Regions from separate parts of the Mus musculus genome. Here all the other regions are reported to be linked to region 3. The links are microRNA targets in miRTarBase. Many come from high-throughput screens and were not tested one by one. Region 3 holds a microRNA gene; each other region holds the end of a gene's coding sequence. Distances are from middle to middle.

The links. Region 3 holds the annotated microRNA mmu-miR-1199-5p (UCUGAGUCCCGGUCGCGCGG, at 1,024-1,043, opposite strand). A microRNA usually pairs through its seed, bases 2 to 8, with sites in the 3' UTR of a target mRNA and lowers its output. Matches are read on the target gene's strand: a 7mer-m8 pairs with bases 2 to 8, a 7mer-A1 pairs with bases 2 to 7 and ends in A, and an 8mer does both.
Region 1: miRTarBase lists Oas3 as a target of mmu-miR-1199-5p. Seed matches in the 3' UTR shown: 7mer-A1 at 2,642-2,648.
Region 2: the mRNA of Nxnl1 is a reported target of mmu-miR-1199-5p. Seed matches in the 3' UTR shown: 7mer-A1 at 1,106-1,112, 7mer-A1 at 1,757-1,763 and 8mer at 1,963-1,970.
Region 4: miRTarBase lists Tmx4 as a target of mmu-miR-1199-5p. Seed matches in the 3' UTR shown: 7mer-A1 at 2,606-2,612.
Region 5: the mRNA of D230025D16Rik is a reported target of mmu-miR-1199-5p. Seed matches in the 3' UTR shown: 8mer at 352-359.
Region 6: the mRNA of Vps26a is a reported target of mmu-miR-1199-5p. Seed matches in the 3' UTR shown: 7mer-A1 at 577-583.
Region 7: the mRNA of Sdr9c7 is a reported target of mmu-miR-1199-5p. Seed matches in the 3' UTR shown: 7mer-A1 at 2,105-2,111 and 7mer-A1 at 935-941.

Annotation. Positions count from the first base shown.
Region 1 is chr5:120,751,656-120,754,736 of GRCm38, forward strand. Oas3 (2'-5' oligoadenylate synthetase 3) reads right to left here. Exons shown (of 16, transcript NM_145226.2): 15 at 2,901-3,048; 16 at 1,443-2,720. The coding sequence ends at 2,709. Among named protein-coding and RNA genes, the nearest start is that of Oas2, 3.3 kb to the left of the region's middle.
Region 2 is chr8:71,559,882-71,562,962 of GRCm38, reverse strand. It overlaps Nxnl1 (nucleoredoxin-like 1), which reads left to right. Exons shown (of 2, transcript NM_145598.2): 2 at 27-2,408. The coding sequence ends at 354. Among named protein-coding and RNA genes, the nearest start is that of Tmem221, 2.6 kb to the right of the region's middle.
Region 3 is chr8:84,010,571-84,013,651 of GRCm38, forward strand. It overlaps Mir1199 (microRNA 1199), which reads right to left and starts at 1,063; the gene lies at 945-1,063. Misp3 (MISP family member 3) reads right to left here and starts at 1,150. Exons shown (of 3, transcript NM_001291292.1): 1 at 571-1,150; 2 at 141-202. The coding sequence starts at 1,114.
Region 4 is chr2:134,596,006-134,599,086 of GRCm38, reverse strand. It overlaps Tmx4 (thioredoxin-related transmembrane protein 4), which reads left to right. Exons shown (of 8, transcript NM_029148.1): 8 at 222-3,081. The coding sequence ends at 562. Among named protein-coding and RNA genes, the nearest start is that of Hao1, 43 kb to the right of the region's middle.
Region 5 is chr8:105,251,446-105,254,526 of GRCm38, forward strand. D230025D16Rik (RIKEN cDNA D230025D16 gene) reads left to right here. Exons shown (of 16, transcript NM_145604.3): 16 at 153-1,608. The coding sequence ends at 239. It overlaps B3gnt9 (UDP-GlcNAc:betaGal beta-1,3-N-acetylglucosaminyltransferase 9), which reads right to left. Exons shown (of 2, transcript NM_178879.4): 2 at 1,193-3,081. The coding sequence ends at 2,110. Among named protein-coding and RNA genes, the nearest start is that of B3gnt9, 2.2 kb to the right of the region's middle.
Region 6 is chr10:62,454,006-62,457,074 of GRCm38, reverse strand. Vps26a (VPS26 retromer complex component A) reads left to right here. Exons shown (of 9, transcript NM_133672.3): 9 at 217-2,232. The coding sequence ends at 330. Among named protein-coding and RNA genes, the nearest start is that of Supv3l1, 5.8 kb to the right of the region's middle.
Region 7 is chr10:127,909,413-127,912,493 of GRCm38, reverse strand. It overlaps Sdr9c7 (4short chain dehydrogenase/reductase family 9C, member 7), which reads right to left. Exons shown (of 4, transcript NM_027301.3): 4 at 733-2,749. The coding sequence ends at 2,532. Among named protein-coding and RNA genes, the nearest start is that of Sdr9c7, 12 kb to the right of the region's middle.

The DNA.
Region 1 (3,081 bases), not on the chromosome of region 3:
TCTCCGCCCCTCCAGGATCAAACAACCCCTTTACAGGGGTCGCCTAAGATGATCTGAAAACACATTTTTCCATCTGTTAAGACCATAACTGAGATACCTCTCTTCTGTCTCCAGGCAGGTACCTGTAGATACACCTACGTGGGAGTACGTGGAACTGTACTAAAGGTTGGCAGCGTTAGGAAGGTTGAGGACCACTGGTCTAGAACTCTGAGAATAGCAGCTATCAGGAGACATAATATGGGGTCTGGTTCGCATCCTCACTGAGTTGATTAGGCAAGGTGAGGTTGGGAACAACCCTAGTGGAGTCTTGGTGTAGTAGCCAAGAGCAGGAGGCACAGGTGGTGGCAGAGAGGGGACCTGGGGAACCCTTGTCCTCTCAGGCTAAGCTGAGAAGGCAGGAATGGATTGCAAGAATGAAGACACTAGGAAGGCTCTGCTCTCCCCACCATCCTACATCCCTGTTGGTCTGTCCCCAGCAGTGGTCCAGGCAGAGCCCAGCTGTCTGAGATGGGTTTGCACAGACTCCTTTTTCTGATTCCTGTTCCTCTCCTGGGGATGGATCATGACCACATCCATCCCTCCGGTGGTTCCTCTGGAGGATCCTGCTGTGGCTACACTGTCACCAGCATCTGCCACTTGCTTTCCATGTCTCCAGATTGGGACATTCATAGGATATGTCTCCCTGTCCTCTACCCTCTGGCTCCTGGCTGCCACTTAGACACTAGGGGATTGTAGGCTTTCTCCCATGTAAGACAGGCAAGTAGACATTTGTCCTGGAGATATCTTGGCATCACTCTGGTCCTGGTGGGGATCAGGGAATGAGCGACAAACACTATCCAAAGTCTACCCATAGTGTGGCAAAAAGGGAAGATTCTTGTTGGAAAACAGACTTATGAATCAAGGGTTTGCAAACCCTTCTTGTCCTCCAGGGGACCCCCTGTTTTGCATTGCATTCGGGGATGACAGCCATCATGGTGTAGCATGACGTTTCCTGGGGAGACATGAACAAATGTCTGTTCATCTCAGACAGGGCACAATGACTGAGCAAGGAAGATTCCACCTGGGTGTAAGTGGATGAGCCGATAGGTTTATTGGGGTTACTAGTAAAGCATAGGTGGGGGTTTACAGGGGTGTAGGTGATCTAAGTATTGCATTGTCCCAAAGCCTCAACTTTCACCAACAATAACTCAAGAAAGCTGCATTCCTGGGCTTCCTCCTGAGGGAGTGGGTAGAGCCACAGGCAAGGCCTGGGGACCCTTCCGGCATCTTCACCCCTAAGGCCCAGTTATCACGTGTTTTTCTCATTTCATTGCGGTGGCTGTGGGCCAGGTACTTTGTAGTCATCACAACTTCAGCCCTATGAAGGTCATGGTCACATTACTTGGGGAACTGTCTTAGTCAGGGTTTCTATTCCCCCACAAACATCACAACCAAGAAGCAAGTTGGGGAGGAAAGGGTTTATTCAGCTTACACTTCCACATTGCTGTTCATCACTAAAGGAAGTCAGAACTGGAACTCAAACAGGTCAGGAAGCAGGAGCTGATGCAGAGGCCATGGAGGGATGTTTCTTATTGGCTTGCTTCCCCTGGCTTGCTCAGCTTGATCTCTTATAGAACTCAAGACTACCAGCCCAGGGATGGCACCACCCACAATGGGCCCTCCTCTTTGATCACCAACTGAGAAAATGCCCCACAGCTGGATCTCATGGAGGCATTTCCCCAACTGAAGCTCCTTTCTCTGATAACTCCAGCCTATGTCAAGTTGACACACAAAACCAGCCAGTACAGGAACATAGTTGGACCTCAGCTGGTGGGTCTCTGTAGGCAGAGGGATATACACAGGCTCAAGGGGCAGAGAGATGCCAGGGAGGAGTATGGCTTCTTGGCAGGGCTGAGGCACTCCTGGGTGGGGCTGTGGAAGTTGGGGCAGAGCCCATGGTAGATGAACAGCAGACTAGAAGATCTAGAGATGTCTGGTTCCTAGGGTGTCTAGTGTGGGAGTCAGGGACACCGGGATGATCATGGTTGAGGTCAATGAAGCCCCACCAGGTGGGTAAACAGTGGGAAGAAAGGGAGGGCTATGGGTGGGCAGGTGGGCAGAAGGGAGATGGTGTGAGGAAGCACATACATGCATATATACATATATAACATACACATACAAACATACATACACACAGACATGTCGACACACAAAGACATAATACATCTATAGACATACAGATACACTTACAGATACACTACACATAAACACACAGACATTCACACAGATACACATGAACATAAGTACATACATACATTTACATATAGATAGACACATATAGATACCCAAAGATACACAGATATAGACACACACACAGACATATGAACACACATACATACACACATTTACATACAGACAGACACATATAGATACTCACAGATACACAGACACACAGAGTCACCTATAGACACACTATACACAAACAGACACACATACATGAATACACACACACACACACACACACATACATATATACAGACACATATAGATACCCACAGATACACAGACACGCACATAGACACACCCTCATATAGGCACACAGACATACCACAAATACACACATACAGATAAATACAACACACACACACACACACTCAGATACTCTGAGTATCACTTGCTGAGGGCTGGTGTCACTTTCTATCAATGGTGACCACTGATCTCTCTAGACTTCACACAGCGGCCTGTGGGAAGGAAGACAGGCTGGTTACCTAAGTCTTTCCGCAGAGCTGAGGCCACTCACCACACAGGAAGTGGAGGCACAGGGACTACAGGGGCCATGACTGAGTCTTGCCCCTCAGGGAGGACCATGTCTGCCCATGCCTATGTCTGTGATACTTCTGTCTGCCTCACATGTCCCTCACCTTTACCGGCCATGGCTTGATGGGATTGCCATCCCTGTCCACGCAGCACAGGGCAGATGCGTACACGGTAGCCTCCTTGGCAAGCAGATCCCAGCGAGCGTTGTGGCCCAGGTTGCCTGTCGGGTCAGCTGGGTCCAGGATGACAGGCCTGCAATTGTAACCAGGGCTAGTCTTATTCCCA
Region 2 (3,081 bases), 12 Mb from region 3:
GGAGGCTGACAGCGCTCTCTCCGCAGGGACCTCGGGCGCCAGTTCTCTGTCCGTCAACTGCCAGCGGTTGTGGTACTTAAGCCTGGTGGGGACGTGCTGACAAGCGACGCCACGGAGGAGATCCAGCGTCTGGGACCCGCCTGCTTTGCCAACTGGCAGGAGGCCGCAGAGCTCCTGGACCGCAGCTTCCTGCAACCGGAGGATTTGGATGAGCCTGCGCGGCGCAGCATCACCGAGCCTCTGCGCCGTCGCAAGTACCGAGTAGACCGGGATGTCGGCCGGGAGCGGGGCCGAAACGGCCGCGACTCTGGTGACCCCCAGGGGGACGCGGGTACAAGGGCGGAGCTCTGGTGACTCCCAGGGTAGGAGTGGGGACGGAGCTCTGGTGACCCCCAAAGTACCCGGGTGCAGGGACAGAGGTCTGATGACCCCCTCCCCGCAAGGTACCCGGGTGCAGTGGTACCTCCAGAGGAACTCGGTGTAGGGGCAAGGCTCAGATTATCCTTGTCCTCTTCTAAGTTCAGTATGTTCCCTAAACAGCAGCCCAGGGTGGCCTTGAACTCACCATTCTCATGCCTCAGTGGAAGAGTAGCTGGAATGCCAGCCAAAAAGAGACAAGAGGTTTCTTTCCCAGATCTCCTCTAGTCTTTGAAAGAACATAGACTCCCACGAACAGATACCCTGAGCAAGATTCCCAGGTCTTAATCATGCACTAAAAATCCATAGAACCCCAAACTCAAAACTCCCATCCAAAACAAAACAAAAGAAGCAAAAAAGCACTCCTGCCAGGCGCACTCTGTGATGCACCCATGTCATTCAGCGCTCTGGTTGCAAGAGAGGGCCAGCAAGCTGACTCTGTGCAGATAGGCTCATGTTGTCAAGACTGACAACCCAAGTTCAATTCCTGGAACCCACTGAGTGGAAGAAAGACTGACTTCCGCAAGTCAGTTCTTTACACACACGATTGTAAGTGCATGCCCACACAGTGACAAATGAGTATATCTAGCAAAAATAGTTGGGATTTTGTTTTGTTTTGTATTGAGACAGGGTCTCTGTATAGCCCTGGCTGTCCTCGAATTCGTGCTGTAAACCAGGCTGGCCTCGAACTCAGATCCTCCTGCCTCTGTCTTCCAAGTGCTGGGATTAAAGGCATGCACTACCGCCACCTACAAAAAAGAAAAAAGAAAAAAGAAAGGAAGAAAGGAAGGAAGAAAGTGTGTGTGTGCAGAAGGTCAAGGCCATTTTTCGCTACATAGAGAGAGCACTAGGCCGGCTGCGGCTAGGTGAGACCTCGATCTAAGCCTCTGAGACTTCCGGACAGGACCCTTGTTTCTCTCAAAGGCTAAGTGTGTGCGATGTTTTTGCTTTTGCCTACGGCGTCCCCTGGCGACCGAATCGGGATAGTGCGTGAGTTTAAAACCCTCCTGCACCAAGCAAGTCCACGGAAGCTTGCAAACCTGACTTTCTGGGATCAAGAATCTGACTAGAGGGAGTAAGAAAGCTGTGAACCAGGGGAATCGGACCCTGCCAACCTCTCATCTGCCTCCGCTCCCAAGGGAGTAGTGGGGGAAACAGGTTCAAGACTGAATAAGCCTGACAACCTGTATTCGATCCCGGGGAACCCACATAGCGCTACTCAAACAAGTTGTCCCTTGACTTGCACTCATGTCCCCTCAAAGAGTAATTAATGGAGAATTTAAAATTATTATTTTGCTTTTTCAAGACAGGGTTTCTCTGTGTTGCCCTGTAGGCTCGAACTCAGAGATCCTCCTGCCTTTGCCTCCCGAGTGCTAGGACTTAAGGCATGTACTACCACTGCCCAAGAGAAAATTTAAAATGTTAATTAAAGGAAATAGAAATCCTCACTCACCCCTTTTAGGAAATAAAATGTGTACAGTTGCATGGGAATCTGCTTTGTAATCCACAACCGTGAGATGGAGTTGGCCTGGGAACCGGCGTTGTGACTCAGAACCTCACTGCTGGCGGCTGGGCTCCCAGGCTTGCTTATGTGTGTTCCTGGCTTTGTAGCTGACCCTGGTTGAAAGGTAGACACATCCCAAATGTCCATCAATAGATCAATGGATCAACACCTGTGGGATGTCCAGAGTGGACTATTGCTCAGCCACGAACAGGAATGAAGCACTGACACAGGCTACCATACCAGAGATTGAGTGGCAGCAGCCAGACACAAAACACTTCACTTGGCAGGAAGTGTCCCCAACAGGGACAGCCACAAATGGAGCTGCCAGGGCCTTGAGGACAGTGGAGCATGATTGATAGGAGGGACTCTCTTAAAGAGATAGAATGCTTCCAAACTAGATAGATATAGGCAGGGTTGCTCTGTAAATGTGCTTTAAAAACAAACACAAAACAGCGAGTAAAAACTGGATACTCTATTGTAAGTTTCATTCCAATTTGTTAAAAGTGATCTTTTTTGTTGTTTTTTGTTTTGTTTGTTTGTTTGTTCGTTTGTTTTTTCGAGACAGGGTTTCTCTGTGTAGCCCTGGCTGTTCTGGAACTCACTCTGTAGACCAGGTTGGCCTCGAACTCAGAAATCCACCTGCCTCTGCCTCCCAAGTGCTGGGATTAAAGAGGTGCATCACCACCACCCAGCCTAATTTTTATTTTGATTATATTTTCAGCAGCATATGCATATCTGAGTGAGGGTGAGGCCAGAAGCAGGAAGAGGGTGTGGAATCCCCTGGCCCTGGAGTTGCAAGCAGTTGCAAACCACCTGATAAGGATTCTGGGAACAGACCACCGAGTCATCTCTCCAGCCCCTCTGTTTACTTCTAAAGACAGTGTCTTGTAGTCCCTACTTTCTTCCAAGTGTCCACATTCCCATTGCCTCACCCTCTGAATTGATGACAGTGACGGCAGGCCTGTGTTATTGTGCCTGATTTGTTCAGATATATACACATTGAGAAGATGGCTCAGTGGATAAGAGCACCAGCATTTCTGCTCTTGCAAAGGGTAGAGTTTCAGTTCTCAGCATCCACACAGTGGCTAGTAACCATCTGTAACTCCAGTTCCAGGAGCCTAGAAGCCCTCCTATGACTTCCACAGATACCTGACATGCAC
Region 3 (3,081 bases):
TGGATCGCGTCTAGGACTTTTGAGTTTGGGTTAGAGTGGCGCTCCAGGGGACCAAGAGGCACCTTCTCCCTCCACCCCAGTGCCCAGGTGCTGCAGGGAGGGCTGGGAGACCGACAAGCATCGGAAAGGGAGTCTCCCACCTTCTCAGAGGCCCGTCTCCGCGGAGGCCAGATCACCGACAATTTTCCATCTCCCCTGCTCGCTGTGGGGGAAGGAACACTCAGCCGCGACTGCCCCTCCTCTTGCCAGCTGGAGGATGGCCGCACCCCTTATATACATACAGGTGTGCACCCCTCTTCCCCATGAAGGCCTCCACCCAGTTCTGAGGACCCAGGAACAGGAATGAGGCAAACTCAATGTAGAGAGGCACCCGAGTACTACAGAGGACCCGAGAACGCCAGAAGTCAAGGTTCCAAGGTCTGATGGATGTGGGGATCCTCACTCCAGGAGTGGGAGTGAAGAAAAGAAGGTGAACCCCCAGGAGAATAGTTAAGGGTCTGCAAGCCTACAGATGAATGATCACTGGAGGTGGAGACAGCTGGAGCTCTAGGGCCCAGGGGGACCGCTTACGGGTGAGGCTCGGCGCTGGCTCCTGGACCTCGGCGTCGCCGTAGATGCTGCGCCGCTGCAACTGCAGCTCCCGCTCGCGCTCGCGCACTCGTCGCACCTCCTGCTCCAGCAGTGACGGGGCAACGAGCGGTGGCAACTGCCCCAGTACCGGACAGCCGTCCTGAACGGCGGGGTGCAGCCGGCCTCCGGTCTCTGGCTGCCTCTGCAAGCCAGCGCCGTCCTCCGCCGCAGCCTCAAAGAAGCGCTTGAGTTCGTCCAGCGGCTGCGGCCGCCGCCGGGCGCTAGGCTCCGGAACCGCGGGGCTCGCCAGCGCCGCCTGCCTGTGAGCCTCGCGTTCGATGTCCCGTTGCATCTTCGCGCCCGCCCGAGCGCGCTCCAGGGCGCGCGGCAGCGGAGTACCGGAGCCGGGCCGACTGAGCACCGGCCGCACGCGCAACTCAATGAGTTCCTCGCCCGCGCGACCGGGACTCAGACCCCGGCTCCGGCGCAGGCTTTCCTCCCGCTCGCAGCTGCGGCGGATTTCGCGCTGGATGGGCGTCTCCATCTGCAATTCCGCCGGCGCCGGTTTGGATGCCGCGGGCTTCGGTAGAAAACACACCTGGAGGCCTCTGAGCCGAGACAGGGGCACAACTGCCCCAGTACCTCCGTTATACTAGTGCCAGGCGGCCCAGCTGTGGACCGCCCGGGCGCTCGGTCCGGTGCTCAACTGGCACCTGCGGGACCTGGCTCTCTGGCTCCAGAGTCTGCAAGTGCTCCTCTCCAGAGGTTTCCAGGACCTCACTGCCTCCCCCAGCAGCCCTCGGTGCCCTGGCTCTGCGGCTCCCGGAACACGTAGCCTTCAGGCGACCCCAGGACTCCACTCTCGGACACCCGAGGACATGGATGTTTGGAGTTAGGCGCCCTTTGAAAATTTTAGTTCTCAGAGCCGAATTGAGATGCCCAAATAGGTAGGACACGGTGCCCTGTGCAGTACCTGTAGTTACAGCCGCCGCCCGAGGTTCATAGGCGTCGCCAGCACTCTTCTTTGACCCGCCTCTGGCCTCCAGGAACATCCCCTGGGGGCAGGACTGGGCACCGCCCCCGTCACCTGCCAGCTGGATTCGAGTGGCCCTGGACCCGCCCTATGGGCCAGGGCGCCTCCACTGCTCTCCGGATTCCCGCCACCTGAACACACGGGTTGACTGAAGGGGTGGCTTCTTCGGAAAGGGCTTCCCTGAACTCACTACCCAGGGGGTATGTGTCGCCCTTTCCCTCTGGTACCACGCTGGCATTCTGGGGTCTTTTTTTTTTTTTTTTTTTTTTTTCATCACTTTCCGGAGACCTGACCTCTAGCGGAGCGCCGCGCTGATCGCTGAACCACGGCCTCCTTACAGAGTGTTTCCCCGGTCGTCTTTCGCTGACCTCACTAGTCTAGGTCAGCAAGTGCCAGCCTGCGGCCAGCGACACCACTCTCCTTCCCCCCGCCCCCTATCCCGTGATCTCCGGGCCTTCTCTGCACACTGATCGCTGAGGCAACACAGCTCGAGTCCAGCCCGAGGGTCGCCCGGGGCCGCCGCACTGGGTGCTGCTGCTACCCGGGGCTGCTCAGCTCTGTCTGGTTTGCAGCGGCGCTGCCGCCACTCAAAACCCTGGGGCAGATTCCCCACCCCCACCTTCCAGAAAAGCCCGCAAGGCATTGGCAGCCAAGTGTCCAGCTAGAATGAGCGGTGTTTGAGGGCACAGACATTACAGGACTTCCGGGCCTCAGCCGAGCAATTGTGGCTGGAAGGCGGTCAGCTTGGACCAGTTTGCCCAGGAGGCCCAAGATGGGGCAGAGGAGCCACCGGGTTAGCGGGAGGCAGTAGCGACCTTTGTCTGGTGCCCGATCTGTGTTTCGGGACAGGGTCGATGACCCAGAGTGAGGGCTAACCACTCGTAGAGACATTTCCACTCGCCCTTGTGGAACCCGGCTTTCACAAAAACCGGCCCACCCTGTGTTCTATAGTAACCTAGAAGAAAGAATTGCCTAAAGAAAATGGAAAGATTAAATGGGATTAAGAGAGTGGTGGCACACTCCTTTAATCCCAGCACTCAGGAGGCAGAGGTAGAGGTGTCTCAGGCCAGCCCCTATTCTCCGTAATGAGTTCCAGGACACCTGCATTTCCAGATCTTGCTTCACCAAAAAAGTAAATGGAAATAGAGGGCTACACAATCCCAACTACTTGGTCACCCTTTTCAGTCTGTCCTCTCTTACAACCAGCCTCAAACGGTGCCTCCTCTTGGGTTGGAAAGATGGCTCATCAGTTAAGAGCACGGGCTGCTCTTCCAGATGACCAGGATGGTTCACACTATCTGTAACTCTAACCTTATGGGACCTGACCTCCTCCCAAACCCAGGCACTGTCCCAACATGGTGCACAGATACATGTGCAGGCACATGGCTGATACACATAAAATAAAAACAAATAAATCTTTAAACAAGAGTAAGTTTAAGGCCTGGGATGATGGCTTGGTTTTAAAGTGCCCATGTACA
Region 4 (3,081 bases), not on the chromosome of region 3:
TTGAGGCCAACCTGGTCTACAGAGTGAGTTCCAAGACAGCCAGGGCTACACAGAGAAACCCTGTCTCAAAAAGACCAAAAAAATAAAAATAAAAAATAAAAAAAATTTTTTTTTAAATTCCCCATTTGTTCATCTCCTGGTTAATCAGTGAGTTAATTACAAAGTTGCCATTTATTATCCAGAGGTTTTTTGTTTTTTTGTTTTTTCTTTTCCTTCCATAGAGCAGGAGCAGAGTACTGGAGAGGCTCAAGGAGCTGAGCAGCTACAGGATGCAGAGGAAGAAAAGGATGACTCAAATGAAGAAGAAAACAAAGACAGTCTTGTGGATGATGAGGAAGAGAAAGAGGACATTGGAGATGAGGATGAAGGAGAAGAAGATGAGGAAGAGGACAACTTGGCAGGCATCATGGCTGAGGAGAGAAGTGACACCAACGAGCGAGCAGTTGTGAAGGAGGGTAGTGTGTCCCCAAAGGAGGACGGAGCTCACCCAGCTGACACTCAGGACGTGGTGGAAGACGCCCTGAGGCAGCGCAAGAGTCAGAATGCCAACAAGGGATCTTAGGTTACATTATGACATTTCTAAAAATACAGGCCAAAAAAGAAGTCTGTTTCCCTCTGGTCTGCAGTTTAAGCCAAATCCTTAGTTGTTTGTTTTGTTTTTCTGAATGAGCAGTGTTCACTTTTAGAAGATGATCTCTGGCCCCGTGGTTACATGGTAGTAAGCCTCAGTGTCGTAAGAGAGGTGTAGCACTTAGCCATCATAGTGTTAGTACCTTTGTGGGGTCTTGAAGAGAACAAGTTGATGTGCTTGGGAGCCAAAGAGTAAATCAGAGGACTTCTCTGCAGTTCTCATTAGCACCTTTAGAAGTGAGGCTGCTGCTTGATAAAGTGACAGCAAAACCAGAGCATCCTTAAAGTGCAGGAAGTCTTTGCCGTCGTTGTTAAGCATGTGTTTTAGTCAGGTCAGAAACATCAGGTACCACAGCTCCCCAGCACTCTCTTGAGGCTAGAAATTGTGGAGACCGGGGTATAGATAGAACTTCAGCATGGAGCTAGGGAGTCATCTGAGCTCTTTTGGTCTCTCGTCTTTTGTTTCTTACCTTTCATCTCTATGACTTTTCCACCTTGCACTTGCAGACTCCCATGGTTCACAGCTGCTCTGTAGTGAGAAGAGCCGGCAGCAGTGATCTGCATGGATTACCCTTACTGGATGTAAAACTTGAGGGAACCACAGTTGAGGAGGCTAAGACTGCCAAGTGTCTCAAAGACATATGCTGTACTCTCTGAAAATTCAAAAGGCAGTGGCAGTTTCATAGGACAGGTACAAGCAACATCTTTTTTGGGTCCTATAGTTACAGGATAACTTCTTCAAGAGTTTCTCCAGCCACATCCTTTGTTTTTCTGAACCCAGAGTGCTCTAAGCCTTGTCACTGTAAGGTATTTTTATAAAGCTGACTTCAGGTCTGTGGTGGTTAGTTTCCATCTCAAGAAACCTCTCTGGAACCACTTTAATAACAACTGAAAAGGCATGTCGGCTTTGCTTTTAGTGATGTGCTTTTGGTGAAAAAACAAATTGATGAAAGTCAATTTCAGTAGGTAAAAGATTTTATTTGTTTCTATCTCCCTTGATCCTCTGGAGAATTGTGTGATTATAAATCTCTCCCTGCTCAATCCAATATCAGTATCAAGGAACCCAGATTCCTTATTAAATAAAAAAAAATCTCTATCTCCTCTCTTACCCTCTCAAGTCTGAGAATAAATCCATAAAATTAGATTCTAGCTATATGAAGGATGACTAAATTCAATCTTATTCCCCCTTGGGTTGAGTCAGAATAATGAGTACAGGTTTGTGAAACTCAAAATGTTTCATCATTTTAAAAAGGGGTATGTAGTGTATTTCTCTGGCTGCTTAGATAACGTTTTCTTTGCATTAGCTGCCAACAGGAGGGTCATTGTTAGTGGAGGTTCAGAATCTGCCTTCCTGTACTGCACAAGGCTGCTACAAACCTTGCACAAAGAAAGATTTTATTGTGACAATCCATTCTTTATGAATGTTTTTGTTTCATCTTTCTAACTTAGTTAACTGTCAGTTCAAGGCTGAGGCCATCACAGAACTGGAGACCTTACTGCCCTTCCATGTTTCTGCCCTTCTGATACATCCTTACTCAAAAGTGTCATGGTTCTGTGGTACTTTTCATCTTCCTAATAGAGCTGAGCTGCACCTTCTCTTCTGCCAGTATATTTCCTTCCTTCCTTCCCTTGTAATCCTTCCTTGATGCATGGAGTGTTTAAGCAATAGTAAATCCAAGTTCAGAGTGGTGGGAAAGGGACGACTTGCATCTCTGTTCTGTGAAGTACCCTCCTCCAAATCGACATACTGGGTTTTAATGGGATATTTGACAAGAGGGAAAGCTTGAAGGATTACAGTCTGCCTTGGCTTTGATAAATGTTTTAAAACCAGGTTCCATTTGGACCACAAATACTACCTAATAATATAATAAGATAATATATTTCCTTTCTTTTTTTTTTTTTTTTCCTGAGATAGGGTTTCTCTGTGTAGCCCTGGCTGTCCTGGAACTCACTCTGTAGACCAGGTTGGCCTCGAACTCAGAAATCTGCCTGCCTCTGCCACCCAGGGGCTGGGATTAAAGCCGTGCACCACCACCACCACCCGCATTATATTTCCTTTCTTAATACTTAAAAGATATTGGAAGCTGGAAGAAAAAGTCATGGAGAAGGGGGTCTAGTCCACTAAAATTATATTTATTTGTAGGAATCATTTTTTTTCCTGGCTTTTCTGTTTTTAACATCCTGGCAAAAATTGGGTTTCTAGTAAATAGTCCAGGACCTTAATTTCTTTCCATATGAAGCCTTAAGGTTTATTTTCAATACTTTGTTCATATAAAATTAAAGGAATAAACAACTTAAGATTAGATAAACATTTAATACATTTTTGTGTACATAATAAATTTAATCCAGAAGTGAAGTGCATGAAAATGTGATTTTCTAAAACAAAAACCATGCTTCCCTTCCATTGCCATACCTGCTATTTAATTGTAGATTGCTATTTTCTGGATGTTA
Region 5 (3,081 bases), 21 Mb from region 3:
ACAGGCAGGCCTTGAGCAGAAGTAAGCCCCACTGACAGGAGGTTGGTGATTGAGGAAATGCAGGGCCCGGGCCTGTGTGAAGTGCGCTGTGTGTGCACCCTCTAGCCCACCCAGTCCTTCCCTCGTGATCTGCTGTTCTCTTCTTACACCAGGTCATGCAGAACAACCACATTGCCTCAGTGACCCTGTATGGCCCCCCCAGGCCTGGTGCCCACCTGAGAACAGCAGAGCTGCCCTAAGGACATCACTGTTTTCCCTGTCCATGGAACTGTGCGTCACATCCAGCTCAGTGGGTCTCTGTGCCACCCTGTGTGTTTGCTTGGACACCTTGGCAGTGTTGAAGGGCCCTGGGACTCAGAAGGGTTTGGAAGTAGGATTTGGGCTGAGTCCTCTGCCGTGGGACGGAGGACCCAGATACTCTGTCCTAAGCCTGCTGTTGCCAGGAGAGAACACAGTGTGCAAAAAGAAGCACAAACTTAGAGCCATGATGAGGGCTCTCATAACTAACATGTAATAAAGGACACGTCAGCCCCTGCCCTGCTCACATAGGGAAGACAGGACTCTTTCTCTAGCTAAGAAAATATTCCCAGGATGAGAACAGGCTCCTGCTTTTGGCCCGACATTGCCACGTGGCCCCTAAGGTGAGCAGAGCAGGTAGCATGTCGGTAGTACTTGGTTGCAATATTTGCACTCCATCCACTTTAGTGACTTGATGAGCTGGCTGTGGCTGGTGTGGCCCACTGCCCTTCCCTGCTTCTCCTGTGAGTGCTCCTTGCCGTGCCCAGGTGGCACCTAAGTGGATGAAATCGTTTCCTACCAGGTATGTACCAGGCCTGGTTCCCACTGCTGCTCTGGGAGCCAGCCTTTAAGGTCACCTGTGTCTCTTGGTCCAACCTGGCTGACAGGGCTGCATGTCTCCATCTTGTTTGCCTCTTTTATTTAATGCCAAAGTGTTAGCCAAAGACACCTTCCTCCTTTTGTTACATTACAGCATTCTGTTATGCACTGTGGGCCAGCTCCTTGCCCTAGTTCTGGGCACTGGCCTGGCCTGGCCTGGCTACTTGGTTTGAGGCCTAGAGGCTCAAGGAACACTAGGCTGCTTGGTTTCTTACATGGGTCTTGCTAATGGGAAGTAGCATATATGTGCTTTAAAATAGTAATCCTTTTGAAAAGAATTGAGAAGAGAAACATATAATTTTATCCCATTTTTAATATTTTGGTCTAGCAACTTGTGATACATAGATGACAATTTTGTGAGTTTTTCAAATGTGTGTACAGATTTTTGTAAATAATGACTTTTGTAATTAACTCATGTACAGCCTCATCTTGTATAGTTCATGATGAATGTGCAGGGGACCTGCCCCAGCTGTCTGTATGGTTCCTGGGCCTACAGCCAGGCCTGTGTGGCACTCCCATGACTGATTTGACAGGTGTCTTCCCATTTGGACCTTCGTCTGGCCAGAGACCCTGCACATCCCACTGTCAGGGTAGCCAGGACTCTTCCCATCCTCGTGATCAGAGGAGACTTCCTCGTCCCCCTTCCAATAAAGCACCTATGCCCACAGTGACAGCGTGCCATGTGCTGCCACTGGGCTGTTTGTACTAAAATGTGAGCTGTTGATTTCCTTGAAGCTGGAGTTGAAGAATATGAGCAATCTTATAGTGGAGGAATCTTAGGACTCCTTCCGGGAGGGGGATGGGTCACCCTTCAGAAGTACACTGGCATGGTTTTGTGTGTGTGTGTATAGTGGGCAAGACGGTGACACATGATGGCCCCGCCCCACATGCTACAGGCAAACCTCGACCTGAAGGGCTTAGTTAGCTCTAACACCAGACCTCAAAGGGAACAGATAAGATATGGCCACTGGGAATCCAATGAGAGAAGGAAGGAAGCTAGTAACTATACGAAAATGCCTGCCAGGTCCACGAGGGCTGAGGCCTGGCTATGGGTATATCCACTTGTGTTTGTTTCATCCCAGCCCTAGCTCTCTCAGTGAGTGATCTGGAGAAAAGTCATGTACACCATAAACCCACATGGAAAACCCCTTTGGGTTCTTTCATGTTCTGTCCTGCAGCTGAGTAAGAGAAGTTTGATACCGTGAGAGATAACTAAGAATTCCATTGGAAGGGACCTGTTGCCACAGGCTGCGGATGTGCACAGACTGGGCCCTGAGGCCCATGCAACAAGCGCCACATAAGCCAGATGTCAGCTGCAGACAGCCCATGTACTACCACCAGTTCTCGGTAGAAACAGGGGTCAAAGGTTCGAAGATGAGGTGCAGCTGAAGGCTGGGAGATGCCAAAGGTGCGAAACGCTGGATGAGGCTCTGGTGTGAGCCGCAAGCGCTGCAAACACATGCCTAGAAAGACATCGTCTATGGGAAAGAGCTCAACTTGTGAGCAAGCATCAGCTAGGCGGCGGAGCGTGGCTCCCGAAAGAACAAAGCCGCCGCCACCTGCGTAGGCAGGGTAAACGGGCAGTCCATACACAGCCCGGGGAATGAAGTACTTGCTGGCTCTAGCTCGGATTGGCCTTGCCTGCACAATCACATCACCCGCAAGAAGGTCCTGTGCGGGATCCCGGAGCTCCAGAAACTGCAGCAGGTTCCTCACGTGCACGAACACATCTGCATCGCCCTTAAAAACAAAGTGTACATCTGGACAGAATGCTGAGGCCCAAGATAGAAAGTGAATCTCCTTCAGCGTTAGATTGAAAAAGGTGTCTTCGAAAGCCCAGAGCAGAATGTCTGCATAAGCTCGGCTCTCCGCCTCCAGCAGGGTGCGCCAGTGCGAACGGGTGCCTGCCCCGCCAGAGCCCGCCCCCTTGGGCACGCCCAACAAGAACACTCGGCGCACGAGTGCCCCCTGCACGCGACCCTCGGCTCCCCAAGTCTGGCGAACGGCTTCCCGCCGCTCAAAGTCCGCAGCCACAGACTTGACAGCGATGAGCAGGTCCGGCGAACCGCCGGATGCGCCGTCGCTGCGGCATTTGCGACGCTGGTTAATGAGCAGCGGGAAGCGCCGTTGGTCCTTGGCGCGCAGATACCCGCCGAAGTCAAAGGGGTCCGTAGGTGTGGGCGG
Region 6 (3,069 bases), not on the chromosome of region 3:
CAGATTGGGGGATTTTCTAAAGCAATACAGCTAGGATTTGTGGTGGTTGACTGTGAGTACGGAGAGAGGGGAAGGGTCACCCAGGAAAGTTGGGGGCTTTCGTACAGAGCATTTGGGATTGTTTTACAGCTTAAAATTGAAGTTGCAGCCAGTATTTCCATGGTGACCATCTAAGACATAGCAGAGAACTCCATTTCGGTTTTGCATTTCCTCTAGGAGATCATCCTGTGGAGAAAAGCACCCGAGAAACTGAGAAAACAGAGGACGAACTTTCACCAGCGGTTTGAATCTCCAGACTCGCAGGCCTCTGCGGAGCAGCCTGAGATGTAAGCAGGTGGGCAGAGCAGCAAGTGCAAGAACCGGGCCAAGAGAGCAGCTCAGCTGGCTGACGACAGTCGCAGCGTGCGGACATCCCAACTCCACGTCTGCTAGTCTTCCTTATCCTAGAGTGCTGCGTTTATTTTACAGTATGATTAAAGGTTTTGTGTATATACATTTTAAAAAGTGCTTCTTGGAAACACTGGAGAATTCCTAAGCTGCCTTTTTTGTTTTCTTTTTTACTGCACACTGATAAGCACTCAGAAGCATAAACATTAAGGATTTTCATGTGAGTAGACTGGTATTTGTAATTTTGCTTTCTTTATGCATAATGTTGAAAATCCTTTTCTCTGTTTTCATGCTAATGATTACCTCTTATTCTCTATGTGCAAAAAATTAAATATTTTTGTTCAAGTAAAATGAGAAAAACCTGAGCAGCCCTTATGTCCTACAAAGTTTTAAGGCATGGCTCCTCAGTATTTTTGAGAATTGTGTTTATTTTTACATGTGGATCAGAAACCAACCTGGTGTTACATGGTAGGCACTTCTGGGTCTACCATTCACAGCCTCCTGAATTTTAATCTTTGGGATCTCTGAGGTATATGAAAGATTGTCACCCCAGGGATGACATGGTTTGTCATCGTGGCCCTCTTGCCCCTTATTGACCACGTTTGCTATGACTTTCTGTATCATCATGTAGGTTCTGCAGTGTGGAGTTGACACATTGGCATTTTAGAACTTGTTAAACCTGTATCATTTTTTTTCCATAAAGACTTTGAAACATGTATATATTTTTTAATTTAAGGACTACTTTCCATGTGTATGCAAATCGTCACCTAGGAATGAGAGAGCTTGGGAGAACCAGCCGAAGTGTCCATAGCCGGACAATTTCTTGTTAACTGGAATATTGGCTAGTTCAAACTTGACTTCACGTAGTCTATTTAAAAAAACCCGAACCAAACAGAACAAAAAACACTAAATTCATACCATTCTCTGAAAAGAAGGCTGCAGTCAGCTGAGCACAGACACACAACTGAGGCGTATGGGGCAGGAGGAAGCCTGTGTGGGGGCCACTCTCACTCAGGGCTTGTTGGTTTCTGTACCAGTGTTCCTTGATACACCTCAGTACAGGTTTGTCAGTTAACTTTACTTTCTAGGAAGCTCAACAGCCCAACTTATGTTTCCTTAAACCTATTTTTTACTATGATGGCACTTTGATAAAATGGCCAGCAACCAGCCCTGGCCAAAGGTTCACATACCACGTCCTGGAGCAGCTATTGTCAATGTGGGTTTCTAAGGACGGCCATGTTCTCCTTCATGTAAGTGCCTGTTCAGAGTCTCAAAGTTTCAAAATGCCAAATATTTTCATGGTCACTTGCATGTATAATCTAGGAAATATTCAAGGAGATTTTGAAAAACAATTGTATTTAACCAGCCTCAAGTTGTGCAACCATGATATATAAAATAAATAATTTGAAACAGAAACTTAAGTTTGTAGTTTAAATAAAATGACTTTATTCTCAAATCTTGTCATTACAGCATTGCCCAGTGGTTAGGAAGACAGTCACAACAGTGAACTTTTATTAGTAGTACTAGCTTCAGGTTTGTTAAGGTTTTGTTTTGCTTTGTTTTTTTAGGTTTTATTTATTTTATATGTATTGCTGTTTTGGCTGCAAGTATGTCTGTGCAGGCATGTGGGCAGTGCCCAAGGAGGGCAGAAGAGAGCATTAGATCTCTTGGAGCTGAAATTACAGGTGTTTGTGAGCGGCCATGGGGGTGCTGGGAACAGAACCAAGGTAGCCAGTGCTGTTGACCACTGAACCATCTCTGGGTTCTCCAGCTTCAGTTTTAAGTAGTTATATAATGCTTTTAATTAATTTGCTTAAAACTCATATAAAATGCTTATTCATTCCATTTGATTCTTTTCTGATGCATAACCAACTTAAAATTTGGGGATTTCAGTCAAAACTTGATAAATAAAAAAGTTAACTATAGGCTAAATCTGTTTGCCCCCTGCAGAATATAGTGTCATAGATAATCTCAATCTTAGTCACATGCCAGGATCACTTCAGGAGCTTTAGAAAAACGGTCACACCTAGATCTCACCTAGACGGTAAAATCAGACTCTAATGGGAGTTGTGCTGCATACGTATAGTCCCAGCATGTGTGTTACAGAGGTAGGAGGACTACCTCAGGGTCAGCCTGGTCTACATAGTGAGTTCCAGCTTAGCTAGAGCTGTGTAACGAGACCCCCATCTAAAAAAAGATTGTTTTTCATATATTGGGGCATTAACATAAAAACAAGATTATCCAGGATTGAAGAGACAGTAATCACATTTCTTGTTTTGTTTAGGTTGGTCTCTACAGCCAGGACTGATCTCAAATTCACTATATAGCTGAGGATGACCTTAAAATACATTTAAGAAAACAATAATAAAATAGGGTTTTGTAGTCCAGGCTAGCTTTGAACTTACACACCAAGATGATCTGTAACTTGTGGTCCTCTGTCTCTGCCGCCCTGTGTTGGTATTATAGGCTTGCACCACCATGCCTGGTTTACATGGTGCTTAGACTTCATGACCCAAGGCTTTGAGCATCTTAAGCAGCATGCTGAGCAAGCACTCTGTCAACAGAGGCTAACTCTAATCCGCCCCTCTACCTCCTGGTTTGTTTATGTCGGGTTAACTGCTGATCATTTATGAAAGCATCCTCCAGTGGCATATACCTCTGCAGAGACTTTACAGATTTAAA
Region 7 (3,081 bases), not on the chromosome of region 3:
CTGACATTACCCAGGCTGTCATATACCTGAACACAAGCGCTCAGCAAGCAGTGGTTCTCTCTAGGCTCGCCACTTCCCAAAGTGCTTCCAGAAACTTCCCCAGAAGCCTTAACCCTCTTGTCTTACCAGCCATGTCTTTGGAGGAAGGACAGCTTCATGGAGATCAGGACATGTCCAGAAGTAACATTATTTGTACTTCATTCCCCAAAGTCTATAATTTCTCTAACAACCTCAGAGCTGGAGAAAATAAAAACTGAGGAAGGAAATCTGTGTTCTGTCAAGCATCTCACCCTAAGTAAAGTCTCACTTTAGCTACCTACTTGAGTAGAGGAATGGAAAGAAGCCTGGGAGAGCATACATGAAGATCTCAGAATATTGTCTAACAGTTTCCTTAGACGGATGCAATTTTGTGTCATTTGTTTGTACAGGGTCTCATGTGATCCAAGCTGTCCTCAAACACATGTAACACAGGGTAACTTAGAACTCTGGATCTTCTTGCCTCTACCTTCTCGGAGCTGCGATTAAAGGTATGCACCATTACCCATGCCTGAATTTGCTGCTAGGAATAGAAGTTAACAGACTGTAGTGGATTATATAGTGTTTCCTTCCTGGCCCAGGTATATCTTCATGTTAATTCCTAGAAACTGTGACAGTTGCCTTATTTGCAAAGAGTTTGTAGAAACGACTATCTTCAACCTCAGCCAGAAGTAGATGAAACATAAACTAAAAACATTTTGATTTTTAAATAATAATATTTGACCTTTATTGCACAAACTGCAGAATTTTAAACAATTCTATTTATTTATTTTATCACTGTTATTGTTGGGACTGATGGCACATGCCTGTAGTCATAGCACTCTGGGAGTAGAGGCAGGAGAATTATGAGTTTGAGGGAATATTGAAAGTTATAGCAAGTTCAAGGCCAGCCTGAGCTTCTGAGTAAGCTAATTGAAAATCTGAGGGTGGGAATGTAGGTCAGTGGTGAGTGCTTGTCTATGATGCTCAGGCTCTGGGTTTGATATTCAGTATATGAACTTGATCAAAAAAGTATCCTTTTTCATTAATAGTTCATATAACTCAGAAGTTGGTAGCTATTTTTAAAGACATGAATTATTTAGTTCTATGACTTATTTGAAGATGTTACAAACAGTTCATCACCTGCTGCTGGAAAAGGGTTCTGTTTGTTTGACCACTTAGCTGGGTGCCTTGGCGAAAATGACTTCCCACTCTGAGCTGATTGGCTGCTTCTCCTGTGGGACTATCACTGCCTCCCAGGTGCGCAGGTACATTTAGGTCCTTAGTACACAATTCATAGTTCTGGGCTCTGCCTCACTCAGGTTTATTGAATCGGATTTTCTAACATTGGGGTTCCTATGAGTTCTTTTGTTTGTTTCCTGGGGTTTGTTTCTTGAGACAGTGTCTCATTTTGTAATCTAGTCTTTCCTTAGACTCACAAAAATCCTCCTGTCTTAGCCCCATAAATGTTGGGATTACAAACATGAGATACCATGCCCAGCTTCCTTACACATTCACTTTTTAAAGATTTATCTTATTTTATGTGTATGCGTGTTTTTGCCTGCATGTATCAATACACATTACATTCATGCTTGGTACCTGTGGAGGTCAGAAGGGGGCATCCGATCCCCTGGAACTGGAATTATGGAGGCTGTGAGACACGGTGTGGAGACTGGGGATCTATTCCAGATTCTGCGAGGCACAAATGCTCTTAACCTCCGAGCCATCTCTCCAGCTTCCGTACGCATTTTAAGTAACTGAGTGATCCCAGTAAACATCCGAGTCTAGGACTATTGAGATCCAGGGTCCTTCAAATTTCCTTTTTCTGATCTTTGTCCCCTTGGTCACTGTCCTATCTCTGCTGCTAGCTACTGTAACAAAGTAAAACGTGAGACAAACAAAACAAAACAAAACAAGACAAGTTCATGATTTCATCACCCTCACATACCCCCAGAGTTTTGGTGCTGGTACGTAGTAAGTGCTCAATAAATACTTGAAACAGGAATCAATGGTGATTAGAGAAGCAAGCATTATATGGATCCCAATCAGATAGAGAAATGCAAAGAAAAGAAAACTATTTAAAACCTTCTCTGAGTATGCTCTGGCAGTTCTTGTTGCCATGTTACATATTCCATATATACACAAACCAGTGCCTGCTTTGAGAGCTGTGGGGAGGGGACCGAGATTCTCCTGTGGGCTAGATTGTCCCATGGTGTTTTACGGAGGTGGTGACAGCTTGTCAGTCAACAGAAGCCGGCTTTTCAGGTCCAGGAGCACTAGTACCTGCCTTGGTGAGGGGTGTCTTGCGGCCTATGCTGCAACGCTCTATCTACATCAGCCGGGGTCACATCAGGTTTCTAGAGGCCCCAGCAGATGGAAGGAGACATCAGCCTGCAGTGGGAGTGAGCTGAGTATGCTCTTCTCTGCCCACAAGATATATGACAACACCTCTTGTGATCCCCCAGTCCTTTGCCCTCTCCCCTGTGCTCCACTGGCTACCCCTTGAGCTCGCCAGCTCAAACACTGTCTGCTGGTCTTGGCAAGTATCTGCTAAGGATGAAATCTGTCACAGGGGTGGGCAGCTTAGCCAGGGTGAGATAGAGAAACTTGACGTCCAGGCCAGGGTTGTAGCGGATTCGGGGGCTCCGGGAGACAATGGCGTGCTCCATGCTGTTGGTGACATCGCTGATTCTTGGCTCTGCTGACCTCATCAAGTTAACCAACTTTTTAGTATCTGTTTGAAAATTTGGTGGCAAAAGGAAGATAGAACAAAAGCCTTTGTTATTATTATTTTTTTAAAATGTGCTCCCCTGCCTACCGAATTCTATCCAAGGTCCTTGTCTATCAAGTTCAATTCAGCATTTAAAGCAAGTCTCCCACAGTATCCCGTAACTAAACACCCATTTACAGGATCATTATAATATCTTATTTTCTCTGTCTAAACACAAGAATTGTGTCCTGAAATCTTACTGTCTTATTAGATGATCAACAAAAAGATCTTGCCCAATTCTTCTACAATAAATCACTTGGTATCTGGCTGGCCTGGAACATAAGCTTTGATTATCT